Xenopus tropicalis: one gene and its partners. The protein of the gene in region 5 purifies or fractionates together with the protein of the main gene of each other region. This does not show direct contact. Links are inferred from orthologs where the notes say so. Each region holds a gene or a part of one and is shown on either strand. Other genes may lie near its edges.

Evidence for each region.
Region 1: the proteins of arrb2 (region 5) and mapk1 purify together in Homo sapiens (affinity purification with western blotting; 3 studies listed by BioGRID and IntAct, with this or other methods). This does not show direct contact. The link is inferred for Xenopus tropicalis from reciprocal best matches to the Homo sapiens genes ARRB2 and MAPK1.
Region 2: the proteins of arrb2 (region 5) and nolc1 purify together in Homo sapiens (affinity purification with mass spectrometry; 5 studies listed by BioGRID and IntAct, counting the BioPlex papers as one, with this or other methods). This does not show direct contact. The link is inferred for Xenopus tropicalis from reciprocal best matches to the Homo sapiens genes ARRB2 and NOLC1.
Region 3: the proteins of arrb2 (region 5) and igf1r purify together in Homo sapiens (affinity purification with western blotting; 4 studies listed by BioGRID). This does not show direct contact. The link is inferred for Xenopus tropicalis from reciprocal best matches to the Homo sapiens genes ARRB2 and IGF1R.
Region 4: the proteins of arrb2 (region 5) and src purify together in Homo sapiens (affinity purification with western blotting; 4 studies listed by BioGRID and IntAct, with this or other methods). This does not show direct contact. The link is inferred for Xenopus tropicalis from reciprocal best matches to the Homo sapiens genes ARRB2 and SRC.
Region 6: the proteins of arrb2 (region 5) and akt1 purify together in Homo sapiens (affinity purification with western blotting; 4 studies listed by BioGRID and IntAct, with this or other methods). This does not show direct contact. The link is inferred for Xenopus tropicalis from reciprocal best matches to the Homo sapiens genes ARRB2 and AKT1.

The regions. Positions count from the first base shown.
Region 1 is NC_030677.2:154,011,314-154,015,373, forward strand, and holds the start of mapk1 (mitogen-activated protein kinase 1), read left to right. Parts: upstream 1-1,260; 5' UTR 1,261-1,321; coding exon 1,322-1,449; intron 1,450-4,060. UniProt on the Homo sapiens protein: Serine/threonine kinase which acts as an essential component of the MAP kinase signal transduction pathway. MAPK1/ERK2 and MAPK3/ERK1 are the 2 MAPKs which play an important role in the MAPK/ERK cascade.
Region 2 is NC_030683.2:44,081,966-44,085,465, forward strand, and holds part of nolc1 (nucleolar and coiled-body phosphoprotein 1), read right to left. Parts: intron 2,750-3,500; coding exon of another isoform or gene 2,564-2,749; intron 2,340-2,563; coding exon of another isoform or gene 2,175-2,339; intron 1,643-2,174; coding exon 1,502-1,642; intron 1,124-1,501; coding exon 392-1,123; intron 1-391. UniProt on the Homo sapiens protein: Nucleolar protein that acts as a regulator of RNA polymerase I by connecting RNA polymerase I with enzymes responsible for ribosomal processing and modification.
Region 3 is NC_030679.2:114,970,460-114,974,609, forward strand, and holds the start of igf1r (insulin-like growth factor 1 receptor), read right to left. Parts: upstream 2,801-4,150; 5' UTR 1,432-2,800; coding exon 1,341-1,431; intron 1-1,340. UniProt on the Homo sapiens protein: Receptor tyrosine kinase which mediates actions of insulin-like growth factor 1 (IGF1). Binds IGF1 with high affinity and IGF2 and insulin (INS) with a lower affinity. The activated IGF1R is involved in cell growth and survival control.
Region 4 is NC_030686.2:39,477,140-39,481,128, forward strand, and holds the start of src (proto-oncogene tyrosine-protein kinase Src), read right to left. Parts: upstream 2,801-3,989; 5' UTR 2,639-2,800; intron 2,508-2,638; exon of another isoform or gene 2,432-2,507; coding exon of another isoform or gene 2,423-2,431; intron 1-2,422. UniProt on the Homo sapiens protein: Non-receptor protein tyrosine kinase which is activated following engagement of many different classes of cellular receptors including immune response receptors, integrins and other adhesion receptors, receptor protein tyrosine kinases, G protein-coupled receptors as well as cytokine receptors.
Region 5 is NC_030679.2:142,403,762-142,407,261, reverse strand, and holds part of arrb2 (beta-arrestin-2), read left to right. Parts: intron 1-178; coding exon 179-239; intron 240-387; coding exon 388-432; intron 433-1,841; coding exon 1,842-2,038; intron 2,039-2,549; coding exon 2,550-2,609; intron 2,610-2,691; coding exon 2,692-2,759; intron 2,760-3,500. UniProt on the Homo sapiens protein: Functions in regulating agonist-mediated G-protein coupled receptor (GPCR) signaling by mediating both receptor desensitization and resensitization processes.
Region 6 is NC_030684.2:99,749,721-99,753,920, forward strand, and holds the start of akt1 (RAC-alpha serine/threonine-protein kinase), read right to left. Parts: upstream 2,801-4,200; 5' UTR 2,715-2,800; intron 2,461-2,714; exon of another isoform or gene 2,371-2,460; intron 2,231-2,370; exon of another isoform or gene 2,078-2,230; intron 2,040-2,077; exon of another isoform or gene 1,813-2,039; intron 1-1,812. UniProt on the Homo sapiens protein: AKT1 is one of 3 closely related serine/threonine-protein kinases (AKT1, AKT2 and AKT3) called the AKT kinase, and which regulate many processes including metabolism, proliferation, cell survival, growth and angiogenesis.

The DNA of each region.
Region 1 (4,060 bases), on a different chromosome or scaffold from region 5:
GGCGTTTTTCAGCCGCTGAGAAAATTAGAAAATACGCAGCGCAAAAACGCCTCGTGTGGCATCAGCCTTACTACTGGCATGGCCAGGGGACTCTATGGCACACGCATTGTGTGGCGTGGCCAAATGTGGATTCCCAGTGACATCACTGCGCATGCACTGACATTACTGGGTGCTTAATCTGCATGTACAAGCAGAAAGCTCACTACACATGCACATTTTTTTTTTAAATGGGTGATTACCACAGGTTTCCAGGAGGATATGGGGTACAAGTTCCTGAATCAGGTAACACTGGGGAAAACTTGGAGAGTTCACAGCTTTGTTTCCCTGATATCCTGGTTGACCAGTCTGACACTGCTTTAGATTATAAAATGTTTTTCTGTAACTAAGAGCGTTTTTTAAGGTAACTAGAGATGGCTAGACATGGAAGACCCTGATAATTTTGCTAAACGTACTAGATCCCATGTCAGTAAACTCTGGGCACTCCTGAAATATGCTATGTACCTATGTAAACAACGGTTTCAGTATACACAGGCGCCAGGTAACATTGGCAGCTCCTTACAGGCCAATAGGATAAAAAAAATATTTTATTGTATGAAGCAGGACTGTTTCCATGGGGTTTTATACTGTTTTGCTGTACAGTATGTACAATAACGTAACCCCACATTCTGTAATTACCAATTACAAGAACGCAACTATTACTGAAAAATATTGCAGATCATTTCCCATGGCAGCAAAGACGCGTCCAATCAACACCAGAGAAGACGCTACAGCCGCCGTACTGCGATCGATGCGTTCAGTCTAGGCAGGAAGCGCTTGGCGAGAGACGTCAAAAGACCTCTAATTCTGCTGTCAGGATCCGTATTGAAGTTTTATTTTCTAGCTTCTGCCGGACTACACTTCCCAGCAGCCTCCAGTATAATCGATCATTTTCTAAAGCGGGAATAAATCAGTAACCGGGAAGCCGTAAATCAAACACACCCTGTGAAAACAGAGAGTTTAGCAAAGAAAAAAAAAAAAAAAGCAGAGCCGTACGAGTCCACGCCCACTGCAGCAAAGCGTGAGGGGAGTTGCGCCTTTCCAAGGCCCTGCCCGTAGTTCCGCCCCACACACACCCAGCGGGCGGGAAGGCGTTAGCTCGGCAGCGCCTCACACAGCGTACGACTGAGCCAGTGCAGCGAGCCTGGGGCGCCGCCTCGTCATCCGCTCTGTCGCTCCCCACCAGAGAGGCAGCCACACCCACGGAGGCGCAGACGGACCGAGCCGTGTAATACCCACAGCAGCTCCGGAGAAACTCTCCCCGACGCATTAAATCAAGCAAAACATGGCAGCGGCAGGGGCCTCGTCTAACCCCGGCGGGGGGCCGGAGATGGTGCGAGGGCAGGCGTTCGACGTAGGCCCGCGATATACCAACCTGTCATATATCGGGGAGGGAGCGTACGGCATGGTTTGGTAAGTGCATGGGGTACGGGCGGATCTCCTTCTAATCCTAGTCATGGCCTTTTCCTTCTTCAGGCCTGTGCGTGTTGGGATCTGTCCCGGCCCTCTCCAGCTTGTGCAGCCACCTCCCCACGCACTGCCACTGCTCCACTAGGGACTGCGTGCTCTCGGCTCCCGGCTGCCAGCTCCGGCCTTTCTGCCGCTTCAACTCGGCATTTGTTCGCTAATATTTCTTTCCCATTATTTAGTGTTGGGAATTGTGTTGCACCTGCACCCAGCAATCCCGTCATAGCCAGCAATCATTTTGCATGCAGCACTGGTGCACATTAGGGTATTGCTTTCCCCCAAATGCAGATTTGTGCTTCCTTTCCCTGTAGTTGGATTATTGCGCCTTCCAGGCTTTCTTTGCTGTGTTGGTAACCTTTGTAAAGCTGAATTAGAGAATCATCCCCGCAATGTACCCTTAAACCCACCCATACAGCCTGTTACAGTTTTAGTTAATGAAATAGGAATGTATAATGTTTGACCCATCAGGGCTTGATGAACTAATTACTCCTGCATCCACTGACAGCCAGGGCTTTGGGAATTGTTCTTGGAGAACAGATGGAGGCCATGTTGTACTTGCATTTAATACTGTATGCGTGCAAGATATTTAAGATACAATGCTGTGGGCGTATTTATAACTTGTTATGAGTTAGAGGTTTGCACCATTGCAGTTAGTCCTGTTTGAAATATGCTCAAAAGTTAAGTTCAAGAAGTAAGGTTAAAAAGGCAATTTGACATTTGTATATTGTTGTATTTTATCAGTATTGTTGTATTTTATCAGTTATTTATGTTTGTTTCCTTTTTCCCAGTGTCGTGCAGGTTCTTACATTATCCCCATCCCATATATATGCTGTAGCACCAGAGTGTAGGACAAATGCGCTCACAGCCCTAAACAGCACATAGTTTAGTTTACTACTGTCTCATTGGTCTGCTAGTCTATAAACTTAGAACTGTGTTCATTGTAACTTTATGGACTTTTTATAAGTACAGTAAAAGTGGGAGTATTGTTTTTTTTTTTTTTGTAAACCAAGATAGACATCCATATCCTGTGCGACACAAGCCAAAGGTGACTTTTATATTAACTTCTCATTTTCAGTTTAATAACCAGTGTTTAGCTATACCTAGGGCCAACCTACATTCCGTGTGGGAACAGTTTTTCTAAATGGCATTGCGTAATCTCCTCAGATCACAGCACTTTTCAGTATAAATCTGCTAAAATGATGGTTCCATTGTGTTGTGTGGGAAGGCATTGGCCGACTCTAAAGTGACAAGTGCCAGCCCTCCTCCACAGTGATTCTTTTAATTCAGTTTTTCATATCAGAGCCTAAATGCACAGAGATATGCAGTTTGGACATAAGCAGGACACTGTGCCTCAGTCCAGCTAGAAATATAGATTAGAATGTGTGTCCTTGGTACATGGGTGACATCAATTTTATTGTAGATATAATTTGCTGTATTAATATTATCAGGTTTCATTATGTTTTAGGAGCTTGAACAGGCCCAAATATCTCCAAGGTTTAAAATCTTACATTTTCAGGCATGCAGTACAAGAGATTAAAGGGGTACACTGGCAGATTTAAGCTGCCAAGGTGGGCAGGTTTGACCTTAGGGCCTGATAATTGAATTAGCCCTATATTGCCCACCTAAGGTGGGCAAATCGGGGGAAGATCCGCTCGTTCAGCGACCTCACCAAATGGGCGGATCTCTACATGCCTAGCCACCTTAACATAGGGTTGCACACCACTTTTACTTGATTGTTACTGCTTGTATAGTTGTTGATCAATGAATTATTAAAGGGTGCACATATTGTCAAGAACAGACTTTTGCTGTTCCACTATGTAAGAAATGAACCTTTTAAAATTTGTCTTTCTCACTGCTAAAGTATTCCCAAAAACCTTACAAGCATGACCCAGGTGTTCACTTCTGGCTGGCTGCTTCCTCTGGTTGTGCAGGAGAGCCAGAAATACTCAGCACTTTGCATTGTAGAGTGCCAGCCAATCCCAGTCTAGTGGTCTTCAGTTATCCGCTCCCCTAGCTGTAGGCACAGGGTGGTAAACTTGAGCCTCTCTTCCTCTGTGGTGAGTTGTTGGACCTATTTTAGAATCTTGCTATTTGTCCAGTGGACCTGACTGGGAACTGCATATTACCTTTCCCTGTGTTAAGAGAAGAGATAGGATTGGCTACCCACATCCACACGGGGAAGTGAATTAGAACAGCTTTACGCTAAAATTTTCTGACTAACCAACTTGTATCCATGACTTATAGCTATGGCTTGTAATTGATGGGCCGCTATATGCATACCATTAATTGTAAGATATTATTGATATGCTTTTTGCCAGATTTATCCAGTTACTGAATTTTTTAATAAAAGGAAGCTGATGGTGCCATCATGGCAGATTTGCTTCTGTTCTGGCTCACTGACTTCAATTCCAAACATAGGTATAACAGCCTAATAGGCTCTGCCCATTGGACTCTATAATGCAGAGACACAATCATATACCGTAATGCAGAAAAGCAGCAGATCTGCCAAGATGGCTGTGACAAAAATAAGGCTATTTGCCAAGGGGCCTCTCTTGTC
Region 2 (3,500 bases), on a different chromosome or scaffold from region 5:
ATGACAAATGGAATGTATTTGGCAAATATCCCCAAGGTTTCCTTTTACGTTAGGCTAGGGTCACCCAGTGCAGCCCTATCTCATGTTCTGGGTTAGGAGCTACCTAGCAGCACCAGATATGGGTGGGTGGCAGTGAACCCTATCAGTTTAGTAAGGGATCAGCTGATGTGCTGAACTGACACATACCATACTCCTGTCGAGAGCCAGTATATTTGATAACCTGTCATATCGGTGAACCTTTTATAAGTGATAACTGGTGTTACTTTGGACATGTCTCCAGTGTTCCCCTGACAGCATTTCAGATGGAACTTCTCCATTTGGCAAAGAACAACTGCATGTGCAAATGAACACAATTTCTAAAGAATTTAATGCTGCAAAATATAAACCATACCGTTAGCTTTTTCTTCATCCTCACTGGAAGAACTTTCCTCAGAACTCTCAGCAGCTGCTTTAGGAGTGGAATTTGCTGTTTTGGGAGTAGAGATATTCTTTCCTTTTTGCTTTTCATCTTCAGAATCAGAACTCTCACTGCTGCTTTCTTTTTTAGGAGCAGGTTTTGCTTTGGGAGTAACTGGGGATTTAGAAATAGCAGTATTTGTTTTTGTAGCCTTTAAGTCATCATCTTCTGAGCTACTGTCTTCAGAACTGCTATCTGCAGCTTTCTTTGGAGCTGGCTTTGTGGCCTTTGCTCCTTGCTTCACATCCTTTGCTGCTGGTGGTTGTTTAGGTTTTTGTTTTTCGTCATCGCTGGAACTGTCTGATGAGGAGCTGCTGCTGGCCTTTGCCTTATTAACAGCCACTGGGCTCTTCTTTGGAGGAACAGTAGCCTTAGCAGCTGGGGATTTCCCAGTAGTTTGCTTGCTTTTCCCCTCCTCTTCGCTGCTTGAATCAGTGCTGTTAGCCTTAGAAGGTTTTTTGTTTTGAACTTGGACCTTGGGGGTAACTGGTGTTGTAGCTTTGGCTGGTGGCTTTGCGGGTTTTGTTTTCTTCTTAGAATCTGAATCACTGGAACTGCTGTCAGAGCTGCTTTCTGCTTTCTTGGAAGGCAGAGACTTTACTGCTGGGGACGGCTTATTAAGTGGCTTAGTAGTTTTCGTGGTCTCCTCTTCTGAGCTATCAGAGTCTAAAAGACATTATAGAACAACATGTTAAACTGATAAACAGATGCTGCTGCTGCACAAAACAAGGTAAATAATTCCTAGCATAGTACATGTATACGAGTGCAAGATTGTTTTACTTAAATGAAAAGCAAATTATTAAATAAGAATCGTTTATTTAAACAACATACCACTATTTTGGCTCTGAATAACAGATACCTGTATTACTTAGAATTAATTTTCCTTTAAGAACCTTACCTATAATCTGCCTATAGAGCACACTTGGACTTATATATTCCCACTGCCTATAGAGCACACTTGGACTTATACATCTGCCTATAGAGCACACTTGGACTTATACATTCCCACTGCAAACAACCCACTCAGACAAAACCAAGCCATACCAGAGTCTGAAGAGCTGGAAGCCTTCTTTGCAGGAACAGACTTTGCAGCAGCAGAAGCATCTGTCTTGGAAGCAGCTTTCCCATGTGTAGTCTTAACTCCTGGCTTTGCAGAGGATTTCTTTTCATCTTCACTGCTGGAATCTACACAAAATAAGATCCCATAAGGGTAAGATCAGGCTAAAATGGTCACTGCAGCAAAGTTAAAGAAATCTATTAGGACATAGTAAGATTGCAAATACCAATCATTCCAGACGTGTGTCTTTTTAAAGACTACTGTAAATCGCAAACACAACTGATGGGTTACCATCCTTAAAAAATTGCCTTAAAATAGTTATGGATACATATTTCATGGTCATTCTCAAAAATGCTAAGTTCCAAGCAGGCAATACTGAACTATATGGAAAGAATAAGGCAGTTATACAGAGTAGTTTATGCAGATGAATTATCTTGATTAACTACTCAAATTTAACTCCTCAACAGCTGGAAGGTCTATGAAACACTGGCTGCTTTACTAAACATGTCATAACAGAATGCTTTATTCTGAATAAAATATCCCTGTTATATAAAAATACTAATAAGAGGTCAGGAACACTGGGCTCCTTAACTGTAAAAATAACCATTTCAGAACCTATATAATTTAAACATTCTCAATTTTAACTGAGAGTGCAGATACCTGAGCTATCTGAAGAACTGGATTCTTTCTTAGTTGGAGCTTTCTTGCCTGGGGTGGTTTTAGCAGCAGGCTTGGCAGGAGTGGTTTTAGCAGCAGGCTTGGCAGGAGTGGTTTTAGCAGCAGGTTTGGCAGGGGTTTTCTTCTCATCTTCATCACTGCTTGAGTCTTAAGTTAATTACATAGTTAAAGTTTAGCATGCCTGTTACTGTACATTTGGTACAATGCTGACAAAATACCTCCTATATGCCACCTACCACACAAAGCTTGGCCTTAAGGTTTTATTAAATAAACCCCAGCATGACTACAATTTGAAAGGTTTCCTTTTAACTCCCCTGTTTTCATTCTATAAAGTATGCAAGCTTCTATTATATACCTGTTTTTCCACTTACCACTGCTGTCTGAGGAGCTTGAATCCTTTTTGGAAGTTTTGGGGGTTCCTTGTTTTGCAGGCAAGGTCTTTGATGTTGGTGTTGCTTTGCTAGTTGTGGGTGTTTTGGAAGTTGGTGTAGCAGCACTCTTTGCAGGAGTAATTTTTGTGGAAGGTTTAGGTGTAGTCTCTTCATCACTGCTAGAGTCTACATCGTGTGGAAGATAACATGTCAAACAATGAAGCAAACAACGTTTAAAAGAACTACATGTGATAGAAGTCAGATTTGGGACCTAATTTATGCATTAAATATTCAAGAAAGATTAAAAGGGAAGTTCACCTTTAGAGAATACTTGCAATATAGCTGTAATTGCCTTAATCATTATTTTTGCAACTGGGCCTTCGCATTTACACCAGTTTACTACAATATTGATGCAGAAATATTAAGGGTCAGGCATAATGCCTTAGTGCATTACTGAGCTTGCCCTGTATCTTACTAAATTATTTACACAAAATTAACAATTTTAGCATTTAAAAATAAGGATTTTTGTATGGGAGATGGAACTGCATTATTTCAGGGTCTCTCAATAATAGATAACATATTTACAAAAGATACGGTTTTAAAAAAGTGCTAGGTGTAGCCACCATTATCTAAAGCAAACAGTTTTTCTGGCTTCCATGCTCTAGGTTTGAAGAAGTACATAGTTGTTGACACAACATAGTTGACACACTGGTGATTTAAGCTGCATTAAGTAAGATGTGACTAGATTTTCATGCAACTGAAAGTAACTTTTTTGTTTTTTTACTTAATACTTAACATAACTAGAGCACGGACAAGTCCCATTTGTTTTTTTGCATTTCTTAACGTTTCTCACATTTTATTTTTGGCCCTGAAAATCCTCCTATAGATCCCACCAAGAAGAATACGTCCCTCTTGCCACCAACCCTCTTCAAGAATT
Region 3 (4,150 bases), about 27 Mb from region 5:
AGCATGATGAAGTTTTCCCCATATATTTATCTATCTCTGCACATAGGTGCTTAATGTGTTACATATATGCTACCAGCCCCTGTATCATTATAGCCATTGCATGGTTTTGATAAGAATAATCTTGGGTGCATAGAAGTCATAACGACTGCAACTTTGTGTCAGTGGAGAGGTTGCTGGATGCAAGCATCATGGTGCATCAGTTGCCGACAACATAAAAAAACAGTAACTAAACTAGTGGGTAAAAGGTTAAACTGTCACATCCTTGAGGTGAAGTCTTATATACATGTTACTGCATCTCCCAAGCAATATCACTCAGTAGCACCAATACTTACAGTACAAACAGTGTGGACTAGAATGCAACTAGATGCATGAGAATCTCAAACTTCAGACCTGTCATAAAAATCTGAGACATAAGGGCAAGTCCACGGTCCTTCTCCACAGAAAGCCCAAACTACCCATACCGAAGCAGGGATGGGCCACTGCTGCCTGGCTACACAAGCCAGCATGACCTGAGATTTATAGGATGGCTACAATTCCAATGATGAGCTTACAAGTTATCAAAACAGTGGCTGCATTTACTGCAAACGAGCGACTGAAATCAGGGGAAGGGCAATAGTTATTCAACAGCTCCCATTGGAATGCTGGTATCTGTAGTCCAACAGAAGCAAGTTTGGAGATTTCTAGACTACAGCACCAAGCTGTATAATATTTAAAATGTGCTGCAGCAGCATTGGGAGAGATTGGTACCTGAAGCATGGAGATGGGAGCTATGCAGCGTGTGTGGTTATCCATTAGTGCAACGCACATGCAGTTATGAGACGAGAGTGTGCAGTCTGAGCAAGTCACTCGCATCCATACAATTCCCCACACAACAGATGAAGATGAGAGAGGAAAGAGAGACCCAATGCTGATGTACACTCAGATGCCAAAACATTTAGCAGGAAGGGGGCAATGATGTCCAACCTGCAGTTATTCGGCTGTTGTGGACTACAGCTCCCAGCATTCTCCCACACACACACACAAAAGGCTGCAGATTGGGCATCCCTGGTGCTGCACATTGGGAGCTTAGGGACACTGACAGCTCATATCTCTAATACTGGAATGATTGATGGCTCTCTGGGGCCCCTAAAGGCCAACACTGAGGGGAGCTGCGTACTAGTAATGGGGAAACAACAGCAGGTGGGATTCGGGCCAAAGAGTAGAGAAAGTGCGGCCCCAAATCTTTGCTCCCCACTGATGCGCACCACAGCAGCCATACGTGCAGCCTGACGCAGCGACACTTCCCACACTGCGTGGGAGCCCCATGTGCCCGGGGTACCGGGGGGCTACAGGACACTCACCTCTCCCAGCCGACGGTCCCAGGCACAGAAGGAGGAGGACGAGGACCCCCGGGATCCAGGCCGTACAAGCAGGCACCAATCCGGCCTTCATGTCCACAAACAAGTCCCCGCGTACAGCCCACTCAGGGAATCCGAGGAAATGCTCATGCACTCTGCCAGGAACTCCCCCCTGGCCCGGAATAACAAAAATGGCGCCGCCGGTCCTTTCTACCTGGACCACAAGCCCTGGAATTCCCGGGTCACCTTGCTCTGGAACCTGCTTGGATCGTGAAACGTGGATTATTGAGCGGACTGGCCAAGTTGTACTGGCAGAGCAGCGGCCGGCACCAACTCCAGGGGGAGCCCCTGAGCTCCACAGTTCCCCCCCTCCCCACTGCCCTGACTGATAGGCAGAGGGACAAGGGGGTTACTTGGGGTTCTCTGGCAGCTACGAAACAGGCGCCGCCCACTACGAGGAATTGGGCCCCGTTATCCAATGGGTTTCTTCGCTCTTGTTACTCTGCGTATCTCCCCTACTCCCCGGTGGCAGTATATCCCTGGCCTGAGGGGGCGCTATGAAATCCGCCTGATGCTGGGTAAATCCAAGGGTAAGTGTGCGGCTCCTCAGTCCCGCAGGGTAACGTGTATCTCCCCGGCGCACAGTGTGTCAGTCCCGCCGCTGGAACCGGCCGCACGGAGGAAGCTGATGGGAGAAACCCGAAGCCCGCACCTCGCCCTCCTCTCCCTCCATGTCAGCCCCGGGCACAATCCGCTATCCCACGGCAGGAGGCCGCTGCACACCCGCCGGACCAATGAATGGAGGAGAGTATCTCGGCCCGCCCGACTCGCCGCCGTCCGAGCGATTCTCTTCAGCCCTAGGATAAAGCCCGAGAGGCTTAAAGCTGCGTACGGGCTGCTCTCCCGCTGCTTGCCGTCCGTGTGTAGGGATCCCCGGGCCGCCGCCGCCACCGAGCCTCTCTCATTGGGATCTCCTCTCAGTGTGTGTGTGTGTGCGCGGCGCTAATGCTGTAAACAAGAGCCTGAGCCGCACACTCTCTCTCTCTCTCTCTCACACACGCACAGACTCACACACTGGGCTGTCTGCAAAGCCAGGACTGGGGAGCTACTCCCGCTGCACTGGACTCGCCCGGGAATCCAATACTGCGCTCAGGCATTGCCTCCCCACTCACCCATCTACTCACTCCTCATAGTCAGTACAGGCATCCCTTATCCCCACATACTAGCGCCAGGCAGCTTCCTAGTGCGTAATAACAACAACAACAACATACTACTTCTTCTGGGGGCATTTCTCATTTGTTCATATATATATTATATTATTTATACACCTAACATCCAAAAACATTGGTATATAATTATATGTGTTTATAGAGACAATAGGTAAGAGAGCATACATGATGGCCCTTATACTACCATGAAATTAAAATGTATAATTGGTGGGGTAAAATTAAAACAAATTACTAAACCTTATTTAGTTATTATTATTTATAATGTTCTATGAGTAATGATCCCATGGCCCATTGGTACTGATCTTGTGGTACCTGATGACACAGGCTTTGTTTACCCTCCATCAGGGCTCAGCAATAAGGGCTGCACTACTGTGTAGGTGCTTCCGTTTAGATAGCCCTTGTGCTGGCGACTTTACTGTTTGTCGTTTGAGGGGACAATAGCATGAAAATAAGATTTCAATAAGTGGCGTTCTGCCACATTTTAATCAATCAAAGCGGCTTTCATTCACCAACTGACCAAAAGGATGTCGGGTAAAAAATTAGAGGGATTCTGTCAAGGGAAAATATGTTTTTGGGGTTTTTTTTTCCAAAATGCATCAGTTAATAGAAATTCACCAGCAGAATCCTGCATTGAAATCCACTTTTCAAACATTTGTATATTTACTTTTGAAATTTCACATGGGGCTAGCCATATTCTTCATTTCCCAGGGTGCCACAGCCATGTGTCCTGTGATTTGATAAACTTCAGTCACACTTTACTGCTGAGCTGCAAGTTGGAGTGATATCACTTCCCTTCCAGCAGCGATCAGCAAAACAATTGGGAGGGAGCAAGATAGCAGCTCCCAGTAGGTATCAGAATAGCACTCAATAGTAAGAAATCCAAGTCCGGCTTGGGACTCCTCCAGTTACATAGGAGTAGGAGAAACAATAGGTTACCTGAAAGCAGTTCTAATGTGTAGCTCTGGCTCCTTCTGAATGTTCAGACTCAGGTGGCGCCTACACACCAGTATTACCAGTATTACAGCTAAAAAATATACATTTATTTGTTCAAAAATGCAATTTTAAATCGTAGAATGGATTATTTGCAATGTGAACAGTGTAATATAGTAATAAAACTATATCATAAGGGTGAAGACACACTGAGCTAGTAGTAGCAGCTACTTTTTCACAGCTACTAGACTCCTAACAATACTGAGAATTGCCTCTGCTAAAGCACACGTAGAGAAATTATCAGTAAATGATCAGCATTGTCTATTTTTGTAGCCACGTAAGTAGTTACTACTAGTAGCTCAGTGTGTCTTCATCCTAAAAGTCATGACAGAATCCCTTTAACTTTATCCATTTAAAAGCATCACGCCTGATGCGTTTCATGTGCACTTAATCATAGACACAATAAAAACCCAAGAAGGTACAAAGTTTAAATAAAAGTAAAATAATTACCTTGCAAGACCACATCGCAAGCGTTAATAAATTAACCCATTGTGTTTTGTATGAAAAAAAAAATGACAGGTGATTACAAAGGGATAAACATAGCTAATCATTACATACTACTGTGTAAGTGCTCTAAATAACTCTTGTGCTGGA
Region 4 (3,989 bases), on a different chromosome or scaffold from region 5:
GGATTGAGGCACGTGTGAAGGTGAGCTGGGATTTAGCTGGCTCTAAGGCAACTGTAGCCTCCACCTAGTACAAAACTACAACTCCCATCACCCTCGGGAGTTGTAGCTTTGCACTAGAGGGAGGCCAGAGCATAAATTTTTGGTTGAAAAGACCTGCTGATTTTATCTAAAGGTTATTTGCTAAGATACATTCATGTGTCAGTATATTTGATAAGCCGATGATAACAAAGCCTGGCACACGTTGCCCTTTACCCAGCCTAGCTACATAGGCCCTTCCCAACAACCTAGCATACATACCCCTGTATCAGAAGCCTTTCACTTGTACCAACAGTCTGGTACATATAGCCCTTTACATACAGTGTAGCAAATATACCTCTTTGACTACAGCCTGGCACATGTATCATTGTACTCAGAGCTTGAGAACTCACATACATATACCTACAGCCTGGCACATATACCACTGTACCCACTGCTTGGCACTTATGTACCTATACCTATAGCCTGGCACATATACCACTGTACCCGCTGCTTGGCACTTATGTACCTATACCTTCAGCCTGGCACATATACCACTGTACCCGCTGCTTGGCACTTATGTACCTATACCTTCAGCCTGGCACATATACCACTGTACCTGCTGCTTGGCCCTTATGTACCTATACCTACAGCCTGGCACATATACTACTGTACCCGCTGCTTGGCACTTATGTACCTATACCTTCAGCCTGGCACATATATCACTGTACCTGTTGCTTGGCCCTTATGTACCTATACCTACAGCCTGGCACATATACCACTGTACCCACTGCTTGGCACTTATGTACCTATACCTACAGCCTGGCACATATATCACTGTACCTGTTGCTTGGCCCTTATGTACCTATACCTACAGCCTGGCACATATACCACTGTACCCGCTGCTTGGCACTTATGTACCTATACCTACAGCCTGGTAAACAGCCCCTTCCTTTATCTAAAGCCTGGCACATATACCACTGTACCCACTGCTTGGCACTCATGTACCTATACCTACAGCTAGGGATGCACTGAATTGAATCAGAACACTAAAAATCATGTGCCTTTTTGTCATATAAACACAGAAGTTGAAATTTTTTCAGCGCAACCTGCGCACGAGGCTCGCTTTAACCCTTCCCTATCCTAATTTACATATGCTTGGTATTTGGCCGAATCCTTTACGAAGGACACTGAGTTTGACGGAATCTGAAAATAGTGGGTTTGGTGCATCCTACGTATAACCTAGCACCCTTAGCCCTTTACCTACAACCTGGCACTAACAAGGCGACATTGGAAAGTTATGATCATGGCCCTAAAGCCTCCTGCTTTAAAAGCTGCACAGCAAATGGTTAAAAGGGGGAGGGATACCCATTTGCTTGAGTACATTCATAAACATTTACCCTTGCCATTTGCTAATTGTAGCAATCACATAGTTAAAAAAAAAAACAATGCTGCCAGCTCTGTATGACATTTAATACCAATCTAAATTTAGATATAAACTATAATAATTGTGCAACCCACTGCCATAGTAGCTGTTTGACCATTGTGTGTGTTTATATGCAGAATTGTTCCACATACATACACAGGTACATAGCATAGTTTTGCTCCCCAGAACTACCCATACCTATAGAGCTGGGTTGAATTTTAACTCTCAACTTCAACCAGTAGCAGGATGGCCTTTGGTTTATTATAGAGAGGACTCACAAGTGTACAATCTATGATAACCCACCATGCACGCCTTGTACCCTTCACCACTCCTCCATGCATGCCCTGTACTCTCCAGCCATCCTTTACTCCCTGTACCATTTACCCACACACACCCTGTACCCTCCTGCATTCCCCCATACATGCCCTGTACCCTCCTGCATTCCCCCATACATGCCCTGTACCCTCCTGCATTCCCCCCATACATGCCCTGTATACTATAGCATTCCCCCCATACATGCCCTGTATACTATAGCATTCCCCCCATACATGCCCTGTATACTATAGCATTCCCCCCATACATGCCCTGTATACTATAGCATTCCCCCCATACATGCCCTGTATACTATAGCATTCCCCCCATACATGCCCTGTATACTATAGCATTCCCCCCATACATGCCCTGTATACTATAGCATTCCCCCCATACATGCCCTGTATACTATAGCATTCCCCCCATACATGCCCTGTATACTATAGCATTCCCCCATACATGCCCTGTATACTATAGAATTCCCCCCATCCATGCCCAGCACACCCAATATTGCTAACTAGCCCCTTCACTCCCCAATATTCTCTCAACTCCAGACTTGCCCAGTGACTCCCAGCATGCCCCCATCTCAAAATCATGTGTTAAATGTACGCTAGCTTATTGGCCCAGAAGTTTAACCCCTGATGTTCGCAGGAAACATGCTGCACTTACCCTGACCATTAAAGGGCCTGTGTGCACAACATATACACAGGCATACCCACCGAATACCGGGCCAGAGTGAGATTTAAAGGCCCATATGGTAGCAGTGCTCCAAATACCCCCAAAGGCGTTACATACACCATTCCCAAGCAGCCTATAGCGCCCCCATTCTCTGCACCCGTGGTACTATCCTACGCCCCCTAGCGGCACGGTGCAGCCACTACTTACCTTGTCCTGCCTGAGATATCGGGAGATTCCACTCTCCGGGAACCCCCCTCACACAGAGGGGGGCAAGAGCGCTCTTCTCGTACCCACTATCTCCCGGTGCCTCTCCCCACACATCAGATTCCTCCTGGGCCGGGAAGTTTGGGGATCTACTCAGCGTACGGTTCACGCCCGGCCGGCTCCAGCTCCCTCCTCCCCTCCGCCTGTGCTGCCCTCCCCCGGGTCCGCCTGTCCCTCCTCCCACTGAATCAGCCCTGGCCCAGCCTGTCACTCCCGTTGGGGGGTCTCTGTACTGCCCCAGTGACACCCAGCCTGCTCTCTCACCACAGTCCGGGGCGCTTATTAATTCGGCCTGTCCCTTTTTGTCTTTCCCCTTTGTCCTTCCCCTTTCATTTGCATTATTCCCCTCTCAGATCCCACCTCTAATCCCAACACTTCCCCCTCTCTCCTCCTCCCCTCCCAGAGCTAGCCTGGCTTCCCTTGTCTTCCTTTCTCTCATTCTTCCCTGGTGAGTCGCACCGACTGATTCACTCAACTAGAGGAATTACACAACCCTATACTTCTCCCCATACACCCAGCACCCACCCCTCTAGTACTTCTCCCCATACACCCAGCACCCACCCCTCTAGTACTTCTCCCCATACACCCAGCACCCACCCCTCTAGTACTTCTCCCCATACACCCAGCACCCACCCCTCTAGTACTTCTCCCCATACACCCAGCACCCACCCCTCTAGTACTTCTCCCCATACACCCAGCACCCACCCCTCTAGTACTTCTCCCCATACACCCAGCACCCACCCCTCTAGTACTTCTCCCCATACACCCAGCACCCACCCCTCTAGTACTTCTCCCCATACACCCAGCATTACATTAACATTTATTTATAAAGCGCCCACCCCTCTAGTACTTCTCCCCATACACCCAGCACCCACCTCTCTAGTACTTCTCCCCATACACCCAGCATTACATTAACATTTATTTATAAAGCGCCCACCCCTCTAGTACTTCTCCCCATACACCCAGCACCCACCCCTCTATTACTTCTCCCCATACACCCAGCACCCACCTCTCTAGTACTTCTCCCCATACACCCAGCACCCACCCCTCTAGTACTTCTCCCCATACACCCAGCACCCACCCCTCTAGTACTTCTCCCCATACACCCAGCACCCACCTCTCTAGTACTTCTCCCCATACACCCAGCACCCACCCCTCTAGTACTTCTTCCCATACACCCAGCACCCACCTCTCTAGTACTTCTCCCCATACACCCAGCACCCACCCCTCTAGTACTTCTCCCCATACACCCAGCACCCACCCCTCTAGTACTTCTCCCCATACACCCAGCACC
Region 5 (3,500 bases):
GATATGGAACCTCTGGATCTGGAGCGGATTAGCTGCGTGGTACCTCGTGGTACTACTGTGTACAAGAAACAGCTGGGCTCCGTGGTAATGCTAAGGGCCCTTAGACTAGCCTACTGGGGGGGGGGGGATATAATGACTGGCTATTCATACTAATGACTGTAACCTTGATCTTTTCCAGCTCACTGTGTACCTTGGGAAAAGGGATTTTGTCGACCATCTGGATCGGGTGGATCCTGTGGGTAAGGGGGATTTAAACATATATTGCCGAGGCCATAGACTGATACAGAGAGGCCTGTTCAACTGTAATTCCCTGCCACTTCTACAGTAGTTGGTTCCACATTCCTGCTGCGCATCAATGTTTTTATTTTATTTTTTTTTCTTTTCAAGATGGCGTCGTACTTGTGGATACAGATTATCTGAAAGATCGGAAAGGTAAGTCCCATAGCCATTGCCAACCTCCCCCCCTACCTTCTGTATTTTCATTATGACCCCTATGTTTTAAAGGGCTGCTATATCATCAATATTTTATCTTTTTTTTTTTGTGGGAATATTAAAGGAGAACTAAAACGTAACTAAAGAAGCTCCTTAGGCTGCTGTCACTTACCTGAGCTTAGGGACCGACTCACAATATACAGTATAAATACAATCAGGGACACCATCAGAAACTTTGGGGCCCCGCAAAGGTTATTTATATGGCCCCCCCCCCCCCCCATGAACACAAGTAAAACAAATTTTGGACAGTACCAAAATGTTGGCCACGCCCCTTGTTTGTGCATAAACAGCTGATGTTGCTCCACAGTCAGTGGAGTTTGCCCTAAGTTTAATCTTTGCATACGATTTAGGGCCCCAATAACTAGTCCGTAGTAGTTCATAAAAATAGTAAAAAATAAAGTGGTAAGTTACGCAAGTTTCTTTGAAAGTAATGCAAGTGTTTGCAAAAGTTACGTAAATTGCGTAAGCATAGGGGCTCAATGATGTTGCTGTGGGGCCCAATAACCAGTCCTTCCCCTGCTGGAAAGTTCATGTAGGAGCCGCTCATATCATTCAGTAAATAGATCCCAATACAAACAGCCGATGTGACTCTATAATAACCAGTCATTCCCCTGCTGGAAAGTTCATGTAGGAGCCGCTCATATCATTCAGTAAATAGATCCCAATACAAACAGCCGATGTGACTCTATAATAACCAGTCATTCCCCTGCTGGAAAGTTCATGTAGGAGCCGCTCATATCAGTCAGTAAATAGATCCCAATACAAACAGCCGATGTGACTCTATAATAACCAGTCATTCCCCTGCTGGAAAGTTCATGTAGGAGCCGCTCATATCATTCAGTAAATAGATCCCAATACAAACAGCCGATGTGACTCTATAATAACCAGTCATTCCCCTGCTGGAAAGTTCATGTAGGAGCCGCTCATATCATTCAGTAAAAAGATAATAGATAATTTGCGACAGTCCAAGATGGGGATCTTCTGCGGCAACTTGAAAGGCCTGGATCATTACTACTATAGAGATGCTGATCCTTCAGGCTGGGGCAGTAAGTTTAGTATGTAAGCTATTGCATTTCTAGCTATATTCATTTTTAGGGTTTAGTTCTCCTTTAAAAGGCATGTATACTTTTCCCCTCTGGCTTCTGCCTGTAGTTTTTAGCTTCTCATAAGTCTGTACAGGGAGATACCATATACCATATGAGCTCAATAATGCAGGACAGCTGTAGGGTATAGTGGCCCTTTAAACGTGTAGCCTTAAACTTACCCCTCTTACCATTCTGCCCGCCCTTACCCTCCAACCGGTGTCCCCTATGCCCCTCCCCTCACCACTCTCTCTCTGCCCACTTCAGTCTACGTCACGCTGACCTGTGCTTTCCGATATGGCCGGGAAGACCTGGACGTCCTGGGCTTGTCCTTTCGAAAGGATCTCTTCATTTCCAAGTTCCAAGCCTACCCGCCCCTCCCAGAGGAAAAGAAACCCCTCACTCGCCTGCAGGAGCGGCTGATCAAGAAGCTGGGGGAACAAGCACACCCGTTCTTCTTTACCGTCAGTGTTCCTCCCCCCCCCCCAACACTCCTCCTGTATCTTTATCCTTCCACCCAGCCCTATGGTGCCTTATAATCCCCCCCCTTTATTTCCCCTTTAGTTTTAATCAATCTTCCTAAGCAGTTTTTCAATTGGTCTTCATTATTTATTTCTTATGGTTTTGAACCCTTTGCCATTTTCAAATGGGGGTCACTGACCCCGGCAGCCAAAAAACAATTCCTCTGTGAGTCTCCAGTTTTATTGTTATTGTTACTTTTTATAACCTTTTTTTCTATACAGTTCCTCCCCTAGTCATATATCAGTCTCTCATTCAAGCTGCTCCCTGGTTGCTAAGGTAATTTGAACCTTAGCAACCAGGGAGCCGCTGAACAATTTATTGAAATAATTAAAAAACTACAGATAATAAAAAATGAAGACCAATTGCAATTTGTCTCAGAATATGACTCTCTGCATCATACTTAACTCAATGGTGAACAACCCCTTTAACAGTCTCTCGTTTTCTTCTTATTAGATTCCGCAAAATCTGCCATGTTCCGTCACTCTGCAGCCAGGACCCGAGGACACTGGGAAGGTGGGCATTCCCTGGCATACTCCCATTAGTAGGCACCTATATACTGCACAGTGCAACTTTAACCCCTTCTTTTACCCATCAGGCTTGCGGCGTGGACTACGAAATTCGTGCCTTCTGTGCCAAGACCATGGAAGAAAAGATGCACAAAAGGTTAGTTTCATGCACATTGCTGTTTCCTGCCAGTCACATGATGCCTAGGAAATTAGCTACCCACTTTGGGTATACGTATACTTTTCATTTTGATGGCAGTGTTCCTTTAAAGGGGTCGCGTTAACGTTTTAGTACGATGTAGAGAGTGATATTCTGAGACAACTTGCAATTGGTCTTCATTTTTTATTTGTTGTTTTTTAATTATTTCAAAAATTGTTCAGTAGCTCTGCAGTTTGGAGTTATAACAGCTATCTGGTTGCTAGGGTTCAAATTTAGCAACCAGGGAGCGGTTTGAATAAGAGGCCGGTATATGATTAGGAGAGGGACAGAATGGAAAGTTAAATAAAGTAACAATAAAACTGGAGCCTCACAGAGCAATAGTTTTTGGCTGCCGGGGTCAGTGACCCCCATTTGAACGCGGCAAAGGGTTTGAAGAAGAAGGCAAATAATTCAACAACTATAAGGAATAAATAATGAAGACCAATTAAAAAGTTGCTTAGAATTGTATTCTTAGAATTCTTGTATGCTTAGAATTGTATTGCATTCTATAACATACTAAAAGTTAACCCACCCCTTTAAAGACTTTAAAGCAGTTTGAATTTGACCGTTTGGACCTAGGGTCATTAAGGTCCAATTAGCCTGATCTCTCCCACCATAGGTGGGCCTATCGGGACACAATCTGCTCGTTTGGCCAAACTAGTGGGTCACACCGTGACACGGGCCGATTGTAGCTGGTCCCTT
Region 6 (4,200 bases), on a different chromosome or scaffold from region 5:
CAAGTACTTGACACAAAAGTCATAACAAACCAATATTCTGCTTCCTACACTGAGGTTTTGCCACAGACTCTGTACAGGAGTTGAAATGCTGATTTAGTTATATTTTCAGATTTATTTTGTTTGTTTTCTGCATTTTCCAAGCACTGCCTACTGTTGCTTTCCCTACAATAATGCAGTGCAGTTGAACCTAAGATTATTTACGAATAGGCGTCAAACCTCAAGGATATATACTTGGGAGACATGTCATACAAAGTTTTTTTCTGAATTAATTTATCCTTATGCCCAACACTATCCTACAACAATATAGCATAAACATTTCTAATAAACTTCAAAAAACTATTTTTATATGTTCTTTAAATATATTTGTGATCTAACTTCTGTATATGTGCATGCTCAGAGAAATATACCTGAACCAAAGTGGAATACAATATAAAATCAAAGCCAAATACATATTATAGGTAGAATGAAAGGTTACACTATACAAATGCACAGATAAGTTTACAGTCAAACATTGGCTTTAGCATACAAGTTACCTACTGTATATTCTGCTTAGTTAAGAGTAAGGAGAGAAGGTATTACCTTTAAATGCAGGATGCTTATAAATAATGCAGGTCAGTTGCACCGGCTCCTATTTAGCCCAGCAGCATGATCATGTTTTTAGTTGCTTCCTGCATTCAAGAGAGTTTGGTCTCCCAAACCAGCATCAAATCAGCAGTTTGGTTTTTCATTCACTGATCACTAGAAGAACAATGAACTACAATTTTTTTTTATTTAATTTTTTTTATAAAAAATAGTAGCAAAAGTTAATCGGGGCCCAGTTTATTAACCTATACTCTTTTTTTTTTTTTTACATTGTTGCAATAGCAGACACTGAATAAAATCCAGATGACTGCACATAGAAAGGACATGTCATGAAATTTTTTGTTTTTGTTTTTTTTAATTTAGCGCACTACATAAAGGTGACACACAGCATTGGACTTGTGACACAACCAAACTGTTTTTTGATGCAAATAATCTAGTTGTTTCTTGATTTTACAGGATTTCTGTACCTGCAATACTAATCTAGCTAAACCATGAGCGAACATCTTATTACTTATTCAGCTGGAAATTAATGTGCGCATAAACCCCGAGAAACATTACTGGAAAATACATTGCCTAAGAAAAACATCACAATAACGACTGGGTTAATTGTTGTGCTAAGTTACTGTGGGGAACTTGCCAAATGCCAACCACATGCTTACTGCAACCTACTTTTAACTGAACACATATATATATATTTTTCAGGTAAACAAATTTCACAATACTGCTATATTCCTCGAAGTCTGGATAGCAACAGTAATCCACAGTACTTGATTGCTCAGGCCAGAGCGAGGAAGTGTCAAACTCAGCCAGCACACCCATACACATTAGAGCATGTACACAGGAAGTGGGCACGTTTGGTGGGGGGACACACAAAGAGCACATCAGTTTCAGCAAGTAACAGACTACATACATAACACAACAGTCTAGAAGTAAAACACTATCTTGTTCAGAGATGTAAGCAAAAGAAATGCTAGTGCAATAGGATAGCTTTTGTTACAGCCCAAGGGGGATATTACTAGATTTCACCAGGGTGTCCGACCTGTAGCATTGCTTGCTGTCAGTGAATTACAACTCCCAGCAGCCTATGACAGCCTTCCGCTGCGGTGGATGTCAGAGAGTTGCCATCTTATGACAGCCAGAGGGCCACATGTTGGACAACTGAGTATATAGACTGGATAAGAAGCAAATGCAGCACATTTCTACCATCTTTATATAAATATATATACATACATGTTTTCCTGCCATCTTTTTAAAAAGCAATGCTGCCAGCCCCCCTGCAGAGCAGCCATAGTTCCAGCCACAGCCCTTCCCTGGAAATTAACACTGTTTATGAACAAACATACACACATCTACACAACAGGAACATTATACACATCCTGGGTTGCACTGAAGGCGACAGCATTGCCCTGCAGGCAGTTTGTGTAGCAAGACTACTGGGATGTGATTGATTTTTGGCGCATTTGCATCAGCTGCAGTTTGCATGCTGCTCTCTTACCGCTACCCCTCCTGCAGAGCACTAAACAACGCCAGGCCCTGACAGGGCTGTAACACTGACCAACACCCCCATGCCTCTCAGGGTATTAGGTACTGTCCTGCTTTAACCCTGTCAGTGACATAAGGCCCCCCTGGTGCATTGCGCAATGATCGATAGGGGGAGGCTTTCTGACACCTAAAGGGTTAAAGGATTATACCAATAAATGGAAGAAGAAAAAAAAAAAAGGGCGTGGGTGCTGGCAGAGGGTGGAAGACAAAGGTTAGGAAATGGAAGTGCCGGGCGGTTTGACTTACATGGATGCAAGAGGTATTACTGAGCTGAGTCTGGAAGAGGAGGGCAGCCACCGAGTTGGGAGGGGGGCTTGGGGCCTAGCGGTGGATTACAGCCAGCTGAAGCCTCACCATCACCGAGGGGAGCAGGAGAGGGAAGGGAGAGGAAAGAAGGGAGGAGAGGAGAGCAGACACAGAGGGGGAGAGGGTGGGAGGAGGAGGTGGGGAAGGATAAGGCTGCTTTTGCTTGTAGTGTTGCTGCTGCTGCAGATTCAGCCCATTGATTGCATGGAGGGATGGGAGGAACCGGCTGCTGCTGATGGTTGGCAGGAGAGTAGTGCTGCTGCTGCTGCTGCTGCTGCTGTCACCTTGCTGCCACCCTGGGATGTGGGTACTGCTGCCGCTTGCAGGATAACTGCCTCGGCTCTGCAGTCTTCAGCCTCGGATCATTCTCCTGTGCATCAGCTGTGTGTGTGCCCGTCTCTGTCTCTTCCTCCCCTGCACACAGTGAGCAATGGCTCTTCCTCCCCTGCCCAAAGCGATCCTCCCTCCTGCCTTCTCTTCCTTTCTCCAGCCGCTGTCTATGGGTTTCCCTCTGTGCCTCTTACACCCTGCCTCCAGATGACCACCGGGTCCTACCGCCCGCAGGCTTCAAAGCTGCAGCTCAGCTAGGAAATCCATCAGAGCACAAAGGGAGGAGCCTGAGCGCTGCGTGAGTAGCCAGCAGCCAGGTGAGACTTAACCCGTGTGCTGCTCTCTCCGCCAGCAGTGTGGGCTTTAGCTACAACGCGCTTTCAACGGGGCCTCACTCTTCACTATTCTATGGAAGGGCATTGACTAAAGTCGCTACGTGTATGTATATTGACACAGAGCAACTTCTATTCTATAAGCAGGCAAATACACACGCAGTAATGCAGTGCAGGAAAATCAGCTAAAATTCTTTGTTAATGTACATATAACCACCCTAAGCTTTGTATTTAACTATTGGTATTTGGCTTTTGCAATATGTGAGGGAAGTTAATAAATATTTAGGAAAACTGCGAGGCCCTGTTATCTGTATGACATAGGACTCTCCCTGAGAGTGCTGGGAGTTGTACCTCAAAGCCACATTCTTGCCCTATTATAAATTCAATTCAATACTATTTATGCTGTGTTCCTGGGCCCACTATAACAGGGTTGCCCCAGTATGGTTTTTGTAGTAATATAGTAAATAATGTATCCCCTTTTGCAACTCTGGACTGGGAGTCAAAATAGGCCCTGGTATTTTAGGTGCATAGAGGCCCAAGCAGCCCCCACCACAAGCGCAATCATTTGTGACTGTCTATGGCGACATTTGCCAGAATCCAAAGATTTCCAACCTGGGCCTGCCCTATTGTTATTCAAAACAATATTAGAAGCCACACAGGAGTTTGTTTCCATATAAAAACATAAAACTGCATGCCAGGTGCTTTTATAAAAGACTCTTGCAAATAACAATGGATGATGCATTATCATTTTTTAAAGGAGACATACTGGATAAATGGGAAAAAAACCTAATTTTGTAGGCAATTCCAAATAATATATGGTGCTGGTTTCATGGCTGGATTTCAAAACTCACCGCCCCCAGGCTGTCCCCGGTCCCACGCCCCCCCCCCCCCCCCCAGCGGTAGTGTGCAGGCGCACGGGGGGTGCGCGCATGCGCAATCAGCGGGGACAAGCATGCGCCGTGGGCCAAAGTGCATACGGAGCAGTGGGGAGAAGTCCCCATTGCTCCGTATGGGAGCAGAAATTTTGAGATTATTGTGCGGCTGGGCGGCATGCCGCCCCCAGGTTTCTGCCGCCCTAGGCCCGGGCCTTTGTGGCCTCTCCACAAAT